3 linked regions of the Ovis aries genome follow. The protein of the gene in region 3 interacts with the protein of the main gene of each other region in a biochemical or structural test. Links are inferred from orthologs where the notes say so. Each region holds a gene or a part of one and is shown on either strand. Other genes may lie near its edges.

The links. The genes of interacting proteins can lie anywhere in the genome.
Region 1: the proteins of CCNA1 (region 3) and MYBL2 form a complex in vitro, tested with the Homo sapiens proteins (2 studies listed by BioGRID, with this or other methods). The link is inferred for Ovis aries from reciprocal best matches to the Homo sapiens genes CCNA1 and MYBL2.
Region 2: the proteins of CCNA1 (region 3) and MCM4 form a complex in vitro, tested with the Homo sapiens proteins (2 studies listed by BioGRID and IntAct, with this or other methods). The link is inferred for Ovis aries from reciprocal best matches to the Homo sapiens genes CCNA1 and MCM4.

The regions. Positions count from the first base shown.
Region 1 is NC_056066.1:72,204,182-72,209,217, forward strand, and holds part of MYBL2 (myb-related protein B), read left to right. Parts: intron 1-1,847; coding exon 1,848-1,919; intron 1,920-2,737; coding exon 2,738-2,830; intron 2,831-2,984; coding exon 2,985-3,205; intron 3,206-5,036. UniProt on the Homo sapiens protein: Transcription factor involved in the regulation of cell survival, proliferation, and differentiation. Transactivates the expression of the CLU gene.
Region 2 is NC_056062.1:32,580,554-32,585,589, reverse strand, and holds part of MCM4 (DNA replication licensing factor MCM4), read right to left. Parts: coding exon 4,934-5,036; intron 4,523-4,933; coding exon 4,263-4,522; intron 3,997-4,262; coding exon 3,631-3,996; intron 3,208-3,630; coding exon 3,080-3,207; intron 2,374-3,079; coding exon 2,166-2,373; intron 1,431-2,165; coding exon 1,202-1,430; intron 810-1,201; coding exon 676-809; intron 30-675; coding exon 1-29. UniProt on the Homo sapiens protein: Acts as a component of the MCM2-7 complex (MCM complex) which is the replicative helicase essential for 'once per cell cycle' DNA replication initiation and elongation in eukaryotic cells.
Region 3 is NC_056063.1:25,417,027-25,422,860, reverse strand, and holds the start of CCNA1 (cyclin-A1), read left to right. Parts: upstream 1-2,494; 5' UTR 2,495-2,629; intron 2,630-3,157; exon of another isoform or gene 3,158-3,849; 5' UTR 3,850-3,873; coding exon 3,874-4,038; intron 4,039-5,834. UniProt on the Homo sapiens protein: May be involved in the control of the cell cycle at the G1/S (start) and G2/M (mitosis) transitions. May primarily function in the control of the germline meiotic cell cycle and additionally in the control of mitotic cell cycle in some somatic cells.

The DNA.
Region 1 (5,036 bases), on a different chromosome or scaffold from region 3:
GCCCCACAGCAGGATTTATGGGGACTTTGTCCAGCTGGTGCTGGGCTGTGGCCAAGCTGCAGTTGAGGGTCTGGATGTCTGTGGTGGCCTTTTTTTTCCTCCTGCCCGGGAGAGAGAGTGTGTGAAAAAACACCGAATGTTAAACCACTGTAACTGTTCTCAAGTGTCTGTTGAGGACATGAAGCGTATTCTCACTGTGCAGCAGATCTTTGGAACTGTCATCTTGCAAAGAAAGCTGAATCATCAAACACTAATTTTCCCCATCCCCTCCCCCTAGCCCTTGGCAACCACCTTGTTTTACTTTCTGTTTTTGATTTCTTTTTTTATTTGGCTGCCCTCGTCTTCGTTGTAGCACATGGGATCATTTTTTCGGTGCCACATGCAGGATCATTAGTTGCAGCATTTGGAATCTAGTTTCCTGATCAGGGATTGAACCCAGGCCCCCTGCACTGGGAGCACAGTCTTAGCCACTGGATCACCAGAGAAGTCCCTGGTTTTTATTTTTGACTACTTTAGATTCTTCATATGAGTGGACTTAGGCTGTCTCTGTCCTTTTGTGTCTGGCTTATTTTGCTTAGCATAATGTCCTCAAGGTTCATCCAGGTTGTAGCTTGTAACAGAATTTCCTTGTTTTGAGGCGGAATAATATTCCACTGTATGGATAATACTACATTTTCTTTATATGTATAAATTAAAAAAAATAAGTTTGGGGGATTCCCTGGCCATCTAGTGGTTAGGACCCCAAGCTTTCACTGTGAGGACCTCAGTTCAATCCCTGATGGGGGAACTGAGAACCTACGAGTTGCAGGGGGTAAAAACAGTCAGTTTGCTCTAGGAATATTTTACACACAAACAGCTACAACTGTTGAAGTACAATCCAGTGAGTTTCAGTGGATGTGCTGCCGTGAAACTCACAGCAACACCACCTTGCTGGGTGTTCCCATCACCCCAGGCATCTCTTGCTCCCTGCTGTTCATTTCTTCCACCCACCAACCAACCCTGACCATGGACACCACTGACTATCTTTTTGTCCCTATAGCTTTGTTTACCTTTTCTAGAAGTTCCTCTGCACAGAATTAAGCAATGTGTACTCTTCTTATGTCTGACTTCTTTTTCTCATCCTAATGATACTGTGATTTTAATGTTGTTGCATGAATCAATAGTTTATATTCAGGAGAACGAGTTTATGTTCAGGAGAGTGTTCTAACAGATATGTTTTTCCATTCCAAGTGCCCACGTTTCCCTGTCTCCAGGGCTGGGTCACTGTCGTCTCTGGCCTGGATGCCTGTAATGGCCTCCTATCCTCCATTCTGCCCTCCTGCAGCCCTTTCTCCTGCAGCTGCCAAAGTGAAGTTCACAACAAGCACGTTGGACTGTGACCACCTGTCAGTGGTGATGCTTCAGTGCATCTGTGGCCTTGCGTGACGCAGAGGCCTGAGTCAACCCTGCGTGTGCTCTGATCCCCGCCGCCCCCGCCCCCACCCCCAAATCCTCTTGCCTCCCTGTCTCCTGCTTCCTGCAGCCTAGCCTCACTAGAGTTCCTTGGAGCCTGTCCCTTGGGTCCCCCATAGGCCTCATTGTCCATCTCTCCATCCCTGCAGCACAGAGTGGCCCTCCTTTTGTTTGCAGGAGCCTTTGATTAGCGTCTGCTTCCCGCTAGACTTTAAGTCCCCAAAGTTGAGCAGCTCTGATGCTGGCGTGCCTGGTGCACAGTTAGATGATCACTTCATCACGTGAATGGATGAATGAGGCTGTTCTCTTTGTTGGAGGGAGGGTGGGTCTCAGTCCAGAGCAGCCGCTTTCTGCACGCGTGTGAACTGAGCCCTCTGTCTTCCTGGCTTTGGCAGGACGAGCAGCTGAAGGCCCTGGTGAAGCAGTTTGGACAGCAAGACTGGAAGTTCCTGGCCAGCCACTTTCCCGTGAGTGCAGCCCCTCTGCCGCCCTCTCCCCCGGATAGGGAGCCTGGGAGAGACTTGGTGTCAGGGAGAAGAAAGGAGAATTCCTTACCAGGCGCCCCCGAGCTCTCCCAACAAAACAACCTTCCAGCCTCCTGAGGCCCTTTCTACCCAAACTGGAATCGGGGCACCCTGATGTAAGCGTCCCCACGTGGCAGCCTCTGGGTGCCTGGGGGCCTTAGGCTCCATGATCATGCGTCGTATCAGTGGCATATTTGCATTTCTTCCTGCAAGTCACTGACGAGTGGCTGCTCGGTTTCTCAACCGTGAAACTGAACCTGAGAGGAAATGATGCTTGAGCAGGCTTCATGGTGAGGCCCCCGCAGAGCTGACCCGAGCCACCATGTCCAGCATCTAGAGCCTCCTGGTGATGTGGCTCCCCCTAGGATCCCCCACCCCCAGCTCTGCAGGTGGCCGACAGGGAGGGGATGTGGCAGGAGCTGCTGTTGGCTTTCCTGGCTCATCAGGCAGCTCGGGGACCAGGTCACCAGACCCTTTGGCCCCATTCCTCACTCCCTGTCCTCTACAGGGTCTGAAACCTTCAGGGAAATAGCCCCTTTCAGAAGCAAGCGAGAATCCCTGATGTAGCCTGCAGGCTGGCACAGGGCAGTTGTGGGCAGTGGCTCTGCACAGGGTTCTGAGTTTGCCTGCTTCCATCCAGGCCCACTTGTAGCAAAGGGAACCACAGTGTCCTGGACCGTGGGTGTGTAGTGTGTGGGGGTTCTGGGAACGAGGTAGGGCCACAGGCCAGGAGTTCTCAAGGATGCCTGTCCTTTTCCCAGAACCGCACTGACCAGCAGTGCCAGTATCGGTGGCTGAGGGTCTTGAATCCAGACCTCGTCAAAGGGCCATGGACCAAAGAGGAGGACCAGAAGGTAACGCCTGGGCCTGAGCCTGCTACACCGTGGCATTCACGCACCCCGGGGGAGGGGGTCAGGAGACTGAGGATGACATCCCACTGGTGGGTGCTAGGGTGGGAAACAGGGGGTGGGGGGGGTCCCGCTGGCCTCACAGCGTCTTTCCCCCAAGGTCATCGAGCTGGTCAAGAAGTATGGCACGAAGCAGTGGACGCTGATTGCCAAGCACCTGAAGGGCCGGCTGGGCAAGCAGTGCCGTGAGCGCTGGCACAACCACCTCAACCCCGAGGTGAAGAAGTCCTGCTGGACGGAGGAGGAGGACCGCATCATCTGCGAGGCCCACAAGGTGCTGGGCAACCGCTGGGCCGAGATCGCCAAGATGCTGCCGGGGAGGTGAGCCGCCCGCTGGGGCCGGTCAGGGCATCCCCTGGCCTTTGTGGGGATGTTCAAGGCCTAGTCCGATTTCTCTGGTGGTGTTTACTCTTCCCAGAAGAAGAGGCCTTCAGATTCTTGCCTCGGGCGGTGCAGGGACCTGGCTGCTGGGAGACTGGAGCGGGGTGGGGCGGGCCTGGGGGCCTCCTGTTCACGGTGCAGGTTCTCATCTGGGCCCACTTGGCTTCGTGCCCTGGCCATGGTTGCACGCGTTCTAAGTCACTGAAGTCATGTCCTGACTATTTACGAGCCCGTGGACTGTAGCCCACCACACTTCTCTGTCCATGGAATTCTCTAGGCAAGAGTACTGGAGTGGGTTGCCGTGCCCTCCTCCAGGGGATCTTCCCAACCCAGGGATCAAACCCGTGTCTCTTGGATCCTCCTGCACTGGCAGGCAAGTTCCTCACCACTGTGACACCTAAGAAGCCACGTGGCTTGGGTTGCCTGGTCTTTTTTTTTTTTTTTTTTTTTTTAATAAAAGAGAGTAAGTCTCATTCCTCCTGGTCTGGACGTCCAAAGCACTGCTCTGTTTTCACTCTACTCCTCACTGGGCCTGGCCGCTCCAAGCACTGGGTCTCTCGAGGTTCTGCAAGGAGAACTGGAACAACTTGGGACTTGGGCTGCAGTCTTGCCAGATCGTCCAGGGTCCACCCCAGTCTCCCGAGTTGCTTCACACAGTTGCTTCTGGAAACTGTAAAAATCTCTTATTCACCACTACCATCTACCCTGCTCTCTTGTCTGTGTACTTGTGTGTGTGTGCATGTGTGTGTGTGTGTGTGTGTGTGTCTGTGTGTGTATGTCTGTGTGCGTGCGTTGACCACCCCGTATAGCACACAAGATCGTCGTCGTTCCCTGAGCAGGGATTAAACCCATGCGCCCTTCCTCAGGAATGCTGCATCCTAATCACTGGCCCTGTCCATGGGCATTTCTACTTTGCTTTATTTCTAATCTTTTCTTTACGATGGCATTGTGGTGCCAGGGTAAATGGCATGGAGGGAAAGGAGATAGAATACCAGATGGCCTGTTTTCCCTGGAGTCTGAAATACCTGTTTCCAAACTCAGACCTAAGTGTGTTAATACTTTTGGTGCTTCCACTAACCCTTGGATGGAGACTCTTCCCTGTGTGGCCAGCCTGACCTCGCTGATGCCACAGCCTCACCTTGATCCGCAGTCACCCTCGCTTGCCTATCGGGCTTTGCACTATGCTCTCCTCCCGCCCACAGACATGGAGCCTGGACGCCCCCTGCCTGGTGCCCACTGTGTAGCCAGCTCGCTCTCACCGTTTGGTTTTTGGTGGGGAATGTTTCCTCGGGGAAGGTTGGTCTGTCCTTCCCGCCTGTGGTGAGTCCCTGGCCACCTCCGCGTAGTGCCCAGACCCTCCTCTGAGACTGGTGGCCTATTCAAGCTGTTATTCTGGTGGAAAAGCACTCAGCCCAGAGCCCCAAAGAAGGCACTGTCCCTGTGTGTCCACAGTTGTGCACTGCTGCGACCCGTGTGCGCTGGGGCCGCTCACACCGACGCCGACGCGTGCTTCCGCGGCCCGTGCTTCCCTGAGCCTTGTCCCACTCTCCTCTGCTGCTCTGTCCTGCTCTGCTGCGCACCCATCGGCCTCTCTCCGTCCACACTTCCTGCGCTCCTGTACCACTGTGCTACCCTCCCTGCCTTTACGTGTCACTACTCTGACTTAAGTGACAAGTGATGGAGGAGGAAGTGATCTAATTTTCCAGATGAAAAAGCCAAGGCTCAGAGTAGTCAGCAGGAGACCCTGTGTTTTCTTGCTCTGCCCTCTCTG
Region 2 (5,036 bases), on a different chromosome or scaffold from region 3:
GCTTCTTCAAACATGTCCTTGGTGATTGCCTTCAGGGAAGAGCAAAGAGTTTACATCTGGAGCTGCCCTCCCCAGACACACAAGGAGCCCAAGTTCAGAAACCACTGGAGTCTCCTGCCTTCTGGGCGGCTGGACAGACATTTCATGCTCCAGCTCTTCCCCTAAAGGGCTTGATGCTAAGCACCACAGGCCTGGCGCCCCTGGTCTGTGTGAACCACTCAGCGGTCATGTGGGGCCAAGAAGGGGGTGTCAGGAAAGCAGGCAAGGGCTGGTCCCAACCAGCAGAGCCCCTGCCGTGAACCTGGCTTTCCTAATAACAGCCAAAAACTGCAAACACTAAATGTCCACCGACAGTTGAGTACATGATGGGGAAGGCATGAGACAGAGCAAACATGTCGCAGTGGATTCAGTGTCACAGAAAGAGCTAAGACTGTCACTGATTAAAAAAGAAACCACTGACTCTGCTCAAAACTACTCATCTACATCCACACAGAAGACTGAAAAAATTCTCAATGTGATCACTCACTATGGATGGGGACCGTACTTCTCTTATGTGTATCTACATTTATTACTCAAGCAGTAAATGAAGGGGGAAAGCTAGGGAAAAAAACTTTAAAGCAGCATCAAAGGAAAAGAAAACTATTAAACAAACAAAATGTCCATGTAAACACTTACTATGTCAGACTGTCCCCGAATATCTTCAAAGAGCTGCTGGTATTTCAGGGTTGGTGTCTTGCCCTTTGATAAAATAAGCTTTCTCAATGCTTCCGCTAACTCTTCTTTCCGCTTCCGAGAGGTAGCACTCATTCCTGAGTTAAGAGAAAGCAATGAAGATGTTTCTCCCATAATCAAGGGAACACCTTTCAAATCTCTAGTATTTCTTCTAAAATAATCTTTAGTCTTGTCACCAGACAAGGTAAGGGGATGGTGGCTGAATGCCAGAGTGAGGTCTGAATCCTGTCCCCAGTTTTATAAAAGCTCAGAGCCGCTACTGGCCACTGAGACACAGCCCAGCAGTCCACACAGGAGTCTGTGTCCACAGAGTCCCCCTTGTGGGGGCCTGAATCACTCGGTGCCTGGACGGCTGGGTGGGACAGAGCTGGGCCGAGTGTGCCAGCGTCTGCCTCCGCCCAGCCCCATCGCGTGTTCATGGGGGCTCTGACTCGAGATAGGGCAGCACCCACGTCGGGGGAAGGCTGACCTGTGGTGAGGATGGAGATGTCTACGATGCCTGTCCGCGGGTCGGTGGCCGACTGCTTCAGTGCCTCCCGGTGCAGGCGCTTGGCCTCCTCCACGTCAATGGCCTCCACCTTGTTTGAAAACCGCACTTTCGCGTGGGCTTCTGCCAAGCGGATCAGTGACTCCAGCTGCCGGGGGTACGCAGACACCATCCCTCGGCTACTGCCAACCTTCCTCATGTCCACGTAGGCCTGTAAGACAGGAGACAGGCTGACTCCTCACATGGTGACCGCAGGGAGGGAAGTCCTGAGGGGAACAAGAGCATGGTCTAGCCTTAGGCCTCCACCCTCATCTGGGGGAGAGGTGGCACCAGTGGGGGGATTGTGGCGCTGGGGAGGGAGCTGAGGACTTGGCCTGTTCACACCCTAGGAGGACCAAATAGCAGCAGGCCAAGGGGCGCTGACACAGAGCACACAAAGGGTAAACTGTGAACTCGTGTGGATGACCTGATTCTCAAGATGACCCAGAGGGAAAACTACGAATCACTTCTAACTGTCACTTGAGCATCTTCAGAACTGTCAGGATGGAAAGCCCACCAAAGCACTAGGAACCTTCCTAGTGTCACAACATCCATGCGTGTCACCAGGCACTGCTGCCCACTTAAAAGGTACTGAGAAGTGAACATAAAATACTTCAATTCTTTAGAAATGAGCAAATGCAGCTCAGAGACCAGAATTACAAAGTCACTAAGTATTAACAGCCTCACCGATATTTCAACTCAGGCATCCTGGTCTTAAATACACTGTGCTTACAAGAACTTTAAAAAGAGCACACAACTTGTAGAAATAATCCTTTTCCCTCTTCCACACGTGGAAAAGTCAGCTTTGCAACACAGGAAGGAAAACAGTTGTAGAAGACAGTGTTGTTCTTGACTAAAGACTGTTTCAGGGCTGAGCAGGGCCCAGCAGCACTTCGGGCCGCGGTACCTCGACGAGGGCCTGGCTGGCGTCCTGGCTGAGCCTTGGTGTCACGGTGCTGTGCGCGTAGGCGATGTAGTCCCTGAGCACCGCCATGTCCATGCCCTCCTCCTGTGCCTGCTCCTCACTCTGGTAGTACAGGGACACCAGGTGGTGAGCCAGGCGCCGGTCGTATGCCTCGTCCTGGGGGTCCAGCATGAGGAAGATCAAGTCAAACCTGAGGAGACACAGTGATGGTGCCCAGTCAGGACACCCACGCACCTGATGTGGACCTGCGGCCTCCGTGGGAGTGGCAGGCGCGCCCGGCCCAGGTGGTCCGAGGAGCTCAGGCCCCCGGGTCTCCTGCCCCAGCCCTCAGTCTGCCTGGGAATAAGTGTTGGGCGCTGAAGGTGAGTCAGAAGCAGGAGGCTCTGGAGGGAAACACTGCTGTGATTCTGAAGACTGGAGGAGGTGAGTGAAACACATTGAGCTGTGCTGGGGAAAAGGAACTATTTGTGTAAGAAGTGAAGGAACCAAATTCTAAAACCCATTTATGAAATACATCCATCCTTGAGAGGAAGCCTGGGTCACATCTCCCCTCCCACAAAGGCAGCTCTCAGACCCTTGTCTATTGCAGGAAGCTGCTCTCTGCACTTTGCTGATTGTCTACAGTGGCTATAGGACCAAGAGCAGCAAGAGGTGGGCTTCTGACAGAATGGAGCAGACAGGCCCCAACCGCTCCAAGAAACAAGCATCCGTCAAGGTGAGCAAGCGCGTGGTCCTCACCTCAGGACCCGTGACTAAGCAGACATGCAGACCACACCAGCATGAAGAGACGGCGACTGGCTGTGTTAACTCTGGTTATTTCCTTCTCACCCTCACCCTGAGCCTTCCACAGATGAGGAAAATGAAAGCATTTGTTTGATGAACATGTGCTATCATACCTTGATAAGAGTGTGTGGGGCAGCTGGATGTTTTCAATGGTGGTTTTTTTCGGATTCCACTGAGACTCAATCGGGTTTGCTGCTGCCAGGATGGAGGTGCGGGCGTTGAGCTGACAGATGATCCCAGCCTGCGGGAGGGACCGATAGCGTGGTCAGCAGCCTCACGCTGAGGCCAGCAGGAGCTCAGAGCCCCTGCCTCGGGTGGCCTTTGCCAGGAACCCCTGGCACCACAAGCACGGTACCTACAGCATCCACTGGGGAAGCCTAAGCTGAGTTTCACACCAAGGATGGAGGTGGGGGTAAACATTTGCTGTGACTACATCTTCTCAAAAACCAAATCCCTGGCATGAGATTTAGGACAAAAGTTCTGTGAACACCAGGCATTAGAGGTTAGTACCGCACAGAGGACCCAGGTCCTGTAGAGGACACTCAGATGGGCTGGGACCTGACAGCAGAGTGTTGGCCAGCCTCCCGAGCTGCAAGTCCAGACGCTGTGGTCCAGGCCCCATCCCCCACCCCCACGCAGACATCAGAGCGGGTGGGTGGCTGACCTTGGCGATGGACAGTGTCTGCTGCTCCATGACCTCGTGTAGCACGGAGCGCGTGCTTTCATTCATCTTGTCGAACTCGTCGATGCAGCAGATGCCATTGTCGCTCAGCACCAGGGCGCCGGTCTGCAACACCAGCTGCCGTGTCTCAGGGTCCTTCATGACGTAGGCAGTGAGGCCCACGGCACTGGAGCCCTTCCCGGACGTGTACTGGCCCCGCGGGACCAGGTTGTGCACGTACTGCAGCAGCTGGGACTTGCTGGTCCCTGGGTCCCCGCACAGCAGGATGTTGATCTCCGCGCGGAACTTGCCCCTCCCCGTGTGGCTGAAATCCTTTCTAGTCCCGCCGAAGAGCTGAAGCAAGATTCCCTGGATAGACGGACAGACAGGTCTCAGCACTCACCTGAGGTGGGTGGTGGAGAGGCAGGGGGCTGAGCAAATGGATGGTGAAGAGATCAGAGGACGAGAGCGGGTCAGAAGCCACACAGGGCCTGCCTGGAAACGGGTGAGCCGGGGGTGGAGATGAGGGTGCGGCCCCTGTTCCACCCGAGGCTCAGCCTTTCCCGGTGTTCACACCATCTGACCTTGAGCTTTCAGGCCTGGCCGTAAGCAAGAAGCCTTTCGAGGTCAGTTACCTTCTTTATGTCTTCATGCTCATAGATGCTTGGCGCCAGGGCAGATGCAAGCCTCTCATAGATGTCTGGCTTCCTGGAAAGCTCTTTGAGCAACTCCACACGTTTCTCAGAGAAAAGTTTCTGCTCTGCTTCTTCGTCAAGGCCATGCAGACGCTTTGAGTCAGTCTTCCGGTAGTGAATGACGTCAATGTGGGTTTTGTAGACAGACTTCACATTGCTCACTCTGGGGTTGATGCGAATGGGGACGGCTCGATAGATGCCTGAAGGCACGAAGGACACCCTCTCACCTGCCTGCTCTCAGTCCAGAGCAGGGGGAACAGGGCTCTGGGGGCTCTGAGCCCAGCCGAAAGGCTGACTGGGGAAACCCACCTCCACCCGGCGCCTGCCTGCTGCTGTGTTCAGTGTGAGACAGAGTTCTTATTTCTCTTTAAGGGAATGTACAGTTATTAATAATTTGACTAAAAATATTAAAATCCTGTTCCAAAAGCCTAAAAAGAAAGGAAATCCAAAAGGCTCACGTATTTAAAGTCGCTCACTAGTTATTTCGGACAACAAGACAACCTGCTGTCTGGGAAGGCACCACATTGGAGGTCAGAGGCTGGCACTGAAAACAGCAGCCCCAGGTCATCTGCCCCCAACCAGGTCAGAGGCCTGACGGTGGAGCCCCTCACCTGTGATGTGCACTCTGTCCCCAGGCTGGACCTTGTCCACGAGGTCATTGTGAGCAAAGAGGACGACCGTGTGCGGCGTCTGCCCCGCAGGCATGTCTTCGGG
Region 3 (5,834 bases):
TTATAATAAAATGTATTGTTCATGTCTCAATATATTAACAGGTTATGTAAAACATGCAGACCTTGAAAATCTACTCAACTTTGATTTCGAATCCTGATTTTGCTACACTAATAGCAAAATAATGAGTCTCACTAAAAATGCATAATTTGTAAGGAAGTCTTTTGTATTCGCTCTGCTCCAGTTTTTCCTAAGTATAAGGCCAAGTTTTCCATTAACATTTTTTATAAAAATTGTGATTTTATTAGTTGAGTTTGTTTTTATACCATAAATCATTACTAGTTCAAATATTTAATGATTTTTTTAAAAACCCAGGAAAGCCATAAGTATTGTGCAAGTTATATAAATATCTGAATTTATATGTATACACATATTTTAAAAATGCATAAAGTTCACCTCAATTACTCTGCAATTTAAAATCTCACCAGAGAACTGTGATGTTTTAATACTGAATTCGAAGGCAGTACAACAATAAACTCACAAGCCACATATTGGTGCTCTTTGTCAAGTTTAACGAAGTGAATGGAGAAAGAAGAAAGATGGTAATATTTAATGATAATATTTCATATGCATTAAGGTTGGATTAGGCTGCAGCTATTCACTTGAGCAAACTCCAGGAGTTGGTAAAGGAAAGGGAAGCCTGGCGTGCTACAGTCCATGGGGTCGAAAAGGGTCGGATACGACTAAGGCACTGAATGGCAACAACAACAAAATTCACACGAGAAGGGGTAGGGGAAGATGTGAAATAACCAGAGGGTTTCATCTGGTTAAGAGTTCTTTTCTCTTTAAAAGGCATTTTTTGGACTAGAGACAGCTGAGAGGTACAGACTCCTTAGTAGCCTCCTTCTCTGGTTCTGACCAGATGTGTGAGTCAGGACAGCCAATTTCAAAGACCTGCCTCTGCCCGGGGCCAGTGCTACCCTTTTCCCACTTGAGCTTCAGTCTCAGAAAAGAGGATCAAAACGACAGGCTCCAGGAACAAACACTGCACTGGCTTCTTTTGTTTTGGAAGAAAGGATGAGTATGAGGTTTCTGGTCACTTTCCTCAATCAAGTAAATCATATCAAAAGGGATGTACAGAGCATCAGGTCACAGGAGGGCACAGAAGTGAAAGTGAAAGGCACTCAGTCGTGTCCAACTCTTTTCGACTCCAGGGACTATAGTCCACCAGGCTCCTCTGTCCATGGAATTCTCCAGGCAAGAATACTGGAGTGGGTAGCCATTCACTTCTCCAGGGGATCTTCCCAACCCAGGGCTCAAACTGGGTCTCCAGCATTACAGGAAGATTCTCTACCGTTTGAGCCTCTAGCTCCTGCCAAAGTAACCCTGGCTCTTGGAAAGACCTGCTCCTGAGTCCCTAACAGAGTCCACCCCTGACGCCTTTAGAGTCTCCAGAAGTCACAATAGTGTGGTCAGATGATGGAAGCCTCCCCAGAAGACTTCCAAAAGCAGCACCAGATGAGAAGGGGGCAGAAAGGCTCTTTTCCTCACCAGATAGCAGCACCTTGCAAAACCAAGCATTTGGGGCCTACCTACATATGTTGCCACAATTTGAGTTGTTACCAGAGCTGCTGTGTTGCCTTCATATCCGAAGGCATAGGAATTCCAGGGTGCAAAGGGATCGCTGCTTCCCAATGAATGAAAGTGGGTAATAAATGTGTAGAAGTTAGTTTCACATTAAAATCCATTTCTATTTTCCTTGGGCATCCAGGAGTGATTTGCAAGATGCCTCCTAACTGCCTCTTAACACCTGATTCAATCGCTTTCATCCTCATTTCCTGTAGAATACTTCAATTTTCCCATTAAAGTAATGCATACACATCGCTGAGTGAGCCCATTAATAAAGAATACTTAAGAAAAAACTGGGAGAGGTGTAAGATTAGCAATTATTTTCATTCAAAACAAGGAAGAAGGAAATAACGAGTTCTTAAAAAACGACCATTTGAATGGTTTCCATTATCTGTTTTATGGATGGGAACTTAGAGATGGGAATATTTAAAAATTAAAAACAGACAAAAGCAGTAACGTGTGTGTGTGTGCACAACAACATTTTCAAAAAAATAATAAAGGTAAAGATTCTTATACTTGGCTCTCTAGTTACCTCTGCAAGTTCCAGGGCTCCCTAGTTTCCAAGGACCCCCCCCCCCTTCCCTTCCTGCGTGGCCAAGGCCCCTTCTCCCTACCCTCACCTCTTACCCCCAAATTAGGCCCCCTGCTTCCACCCTACCCTGCCGCGGACCCCGGATCCAAGGATTTCCTTCCCACGTGACCAGGCCACCTGCCCAGTCCCTGGTTCCCAGCCTCCCCGCTATCCCCTCTCAACGTCCCAGACCCCGTCGCTGCCACTCGCGTTCCTTCCTCTTCCTGGGCCAGCTTCACGCTGGGGCTGCCGGAACCGTCGAGGAAGGTCTCTCTCCTGGGGACCTAGAGCACCACGTGCGACCCTAAAACCCCAGGTCTCCTCTCCCGCCCTGTCGGGTTACATGCACCGGAACCCAGGTCGGCCAGGCGTGGCCTCCGGTGCGCAAGGACCCAAAATGACCGAGAACACGCCGCCACCACGGACTGAGGCCGCGACTCCAACCAGAGGCCCGCTCGCTGCCACTTGGCTTTTCTCTGGGAGTAGGCTTAGGTGTGTGAGCTGGGGGAAAGGGGAGTGAGCCGCGCTGTCTGCCCGGCGCGGTCAAGGCGCCGCGGCCTCAGCAGCCCCGAGGGCCCCGCGTCGCCCTCCCGGGCCAAGGTTCTCAGGAGCGGGCCGCGGAAAAGACGTTAGCGGGAGGAGTTAGCGGCTGTTGGGGAACCGGTTCAAGTAAAAACAGTCCCTTCCAAACCCCGGCCATCGCGGGGCGGGCCTGCTTCTTCCCTTACAGATATCGGCCACAGTGGGGGCGTGGGCCGCGGCCACCGCGGCCGCCCGCCCAGACACGCCCGGGCAGGGCCGCTTAGGAGGGGCTCAGGGCCGCCGCCGGTTGGCCCCACCCAGCCCTGAACGCCCAAGGGTCGCGGTGCGTCCTCGGGTGCTGAGGTAGCCATAGAGATGAGGCCGCAGAGCGCGCACGCCCCCCTGCGGTTGGCATGGAAACGGCCCCCGCGAGGCCCGGGAGCTGCGCTGATTGGCCGATTCAACAGACGCGGGGGCCGGCGAGGGGCGGGGGGAGTTGAAAGTAATTAGCTCTGAGCTGGGCAGCAGACGCTGGGAGCCCAGCGCCCCGGCTAGAATCTATTAACACCTCCGTCCCCTTCCGCCCCGCCCCGCCCCGGCCCCGCCCCCTTCATTGGACCCTTATTCCCAATCCTCGTGTGCATTTGCTAATTGTTCGAGACTTATGTGTAAAGAGATAAGACTGAGAAGAGCGAGGTCCGCTGTGGGTTCCAAGCAGATTTTGGGGCCTTCTGTCTTGTGGGAGGAAGGCCGCGGAAGAGCACTCTGCTTGTCACTTGAGAAGGGGACGTACTTTCCCACAGTGATGTATCCTGGGTCACTGGTTTGCAGGGAAGGGGGTGGTGGAGTAATGGATAAGCATCACAGCCAGGAAAGACACGGGCTTGTAGGTTTGAACTCCCCACTAATGTGGGGGTTAGTGTCTTGGCTTGGAGGTTTGTCATATTCTTCTCTTCTTCCAGCCATCAGCCAGGTATTGGAAGAAAGGCTGGAGAGATTCAAATCATCGTTTTGGTTTAAAGCGGCTTTGATCACTTGCACTGTGGCTCAGGCCCTTTCAACCCTAATAACAGCAAGGAAGATCATGTGTCACAGGGCTGTGTCTTCTAGAGAGTCTCAGCATCCTTGGATCCTTATCCTTCGTGGAAGAGGCTGACTAACTGGCTTGTCTGTTTCTCCTTCCTTGACAGCAGTAAGCTGTGGAGACTGAGGCTATGCATCTCAGCAGCTCCAAGAGTGGAGTAGTGCTGGCTCCAGTGTCCCGAGGTCCTGATGCCTGTCAGATGATAACCAGAGGCCAGTTCGGCCAGGATCCGCCACAAAGAACAGTACTAGGAGTGCTAACTGAGAATGGGCAGTACAGGAGGACCTGTGGCCAGGTAATGCCTGGGAAGAGCTGGGAAGGCCCCCGTGTCTTGGTGGGAAGTGGGATCTCTTGAGATTTTCTGCACAAACTCCCCTTGAGTATTCAGCCCTGGAATCTGGCCTATAGGGGCACTGATTTTTTAAAAGAGCACTTTGTAAGGTCCCTTTTTCAGCTAGCAATATTAAATAATTTTCTTTGTTATTAGGAACTGTTTAAGTCAAATATGTGTAAAGTCACTTAAAAGAAAGTGAAAGTGAAGTCACTCAGTCGTTTCCAACTCTTTGTGACCCTGTGGACTGTAGCCTACCAGGCTTCTCCACCCATGGGATTCTCCAGGCAAGAATACTGGAGTGGGTTGCCATTTGCTTCTCCAGGGGATCTTCCCGACCCAGGGATTGAACCTGGGTCTCCTGCATTGCAGGCAGACGCTTCACCCTCAGCCACCAGGGAAGCACTTAAGTTCCGGGCTAAAAGGACATTGTGAATGCACCAAAATAAACTATTGTTGTTCAGTTGCGAAGGTGTGTCCAGCTCTTTGCGACCCCATGGACTGTAGCCTGCCAAGCTTCTTTACCCATGGAATTTCCCAGGCAAGAATACTGGAGTGGGTTGTGATTTCTTTCTCCAAAATTAACTTGTGGTACTGGTGTTTCTCTAGATCAGAATGGTATTCAGATTGACCTAGGCTGTGCCCTGAAGCATCTCCGATAACCTTTAAGTTCATTGGTGATGGTATTAGAATCAGGATTGGATCCCAGCATACTAGATTACTTACAAATGTGTGCTTTGAAAGTCAGCTTCTCCCCAGGACTGATAATGGACAGTTGGGCAGAAGATCATGGGCCATCTAATGTCCGGTTGCTTGTGCTTAATTAATCATAGGCACCTCCCTTAACAGAATGTAAACAGAGGGTAAATAAATTCAACACTTAAAATGCAAATAAGGAGTTTGGATCCTTAAGAATGAATTTTGAGATTAAAAAAACAACAACAACAAAACTTCCTCAAGTCTGTCATCACACCAGCTTCTCATAAGCTTGTACTGCATATCTATTGGCGGTAGTATAGTGGAGTAGGTGGGCAGGTATCCTTTCCATTGTACAGGTGAGAAAATTTGAGAGGTTTGAGAAAGCCTTCCCACCCAAATAAAAGTCATGATGGAGGCCAGATCAGAAGCTTCTCATCTACTGACTACTCCTACTCCTCTTCTACACAATGACACAAGTCATTTGTGTCTTGGTGGCATCTGGTTAGTGGGAGAAAATTACCCAAAGTAATCTGTTTCAAGCTTTGGAAAAAGCTGAGTAAAGGTGGTTTTAGCAAACTTAATTTGCTTAGCGACACGGTGTACTTCTTTAAACATGAAGTCTAACACAGTGAGGGAAGGAGAGAGTGGGATGAATAGAAAGAGTAGCACTGAAACATGTACATCACCATATGTAAAAGCAAGAGCTGGTGGGAATTCGCTGTGTGACTCAGGGAGCTCAAACCCAGCGCTCTGTGACAACCTAGAGGGGTGGGATGAGGTAGGGGGTCGGAGGGAGGTTCAAGCGGGAGGGGACATATGTATGCCCGCGGCTGATTCATGTTGATGTATGGCAGAAACCAACACAAATTGGAAAGCAAATACCCTCCAATTAAAAATAAACAAATAATTAAAACAGGAAGTCTAAAACCTCTCCTGAATGGGCAGTTACCCCTGTGCTTAGCGGTTTCACTGTAAATTCATAACTGTTAGTTACCCTCTATGTTGCTTGGTGCTACCTCTGCATTCCCCGGTTCTATTCCGCTACAACCGTCCTATAGAAA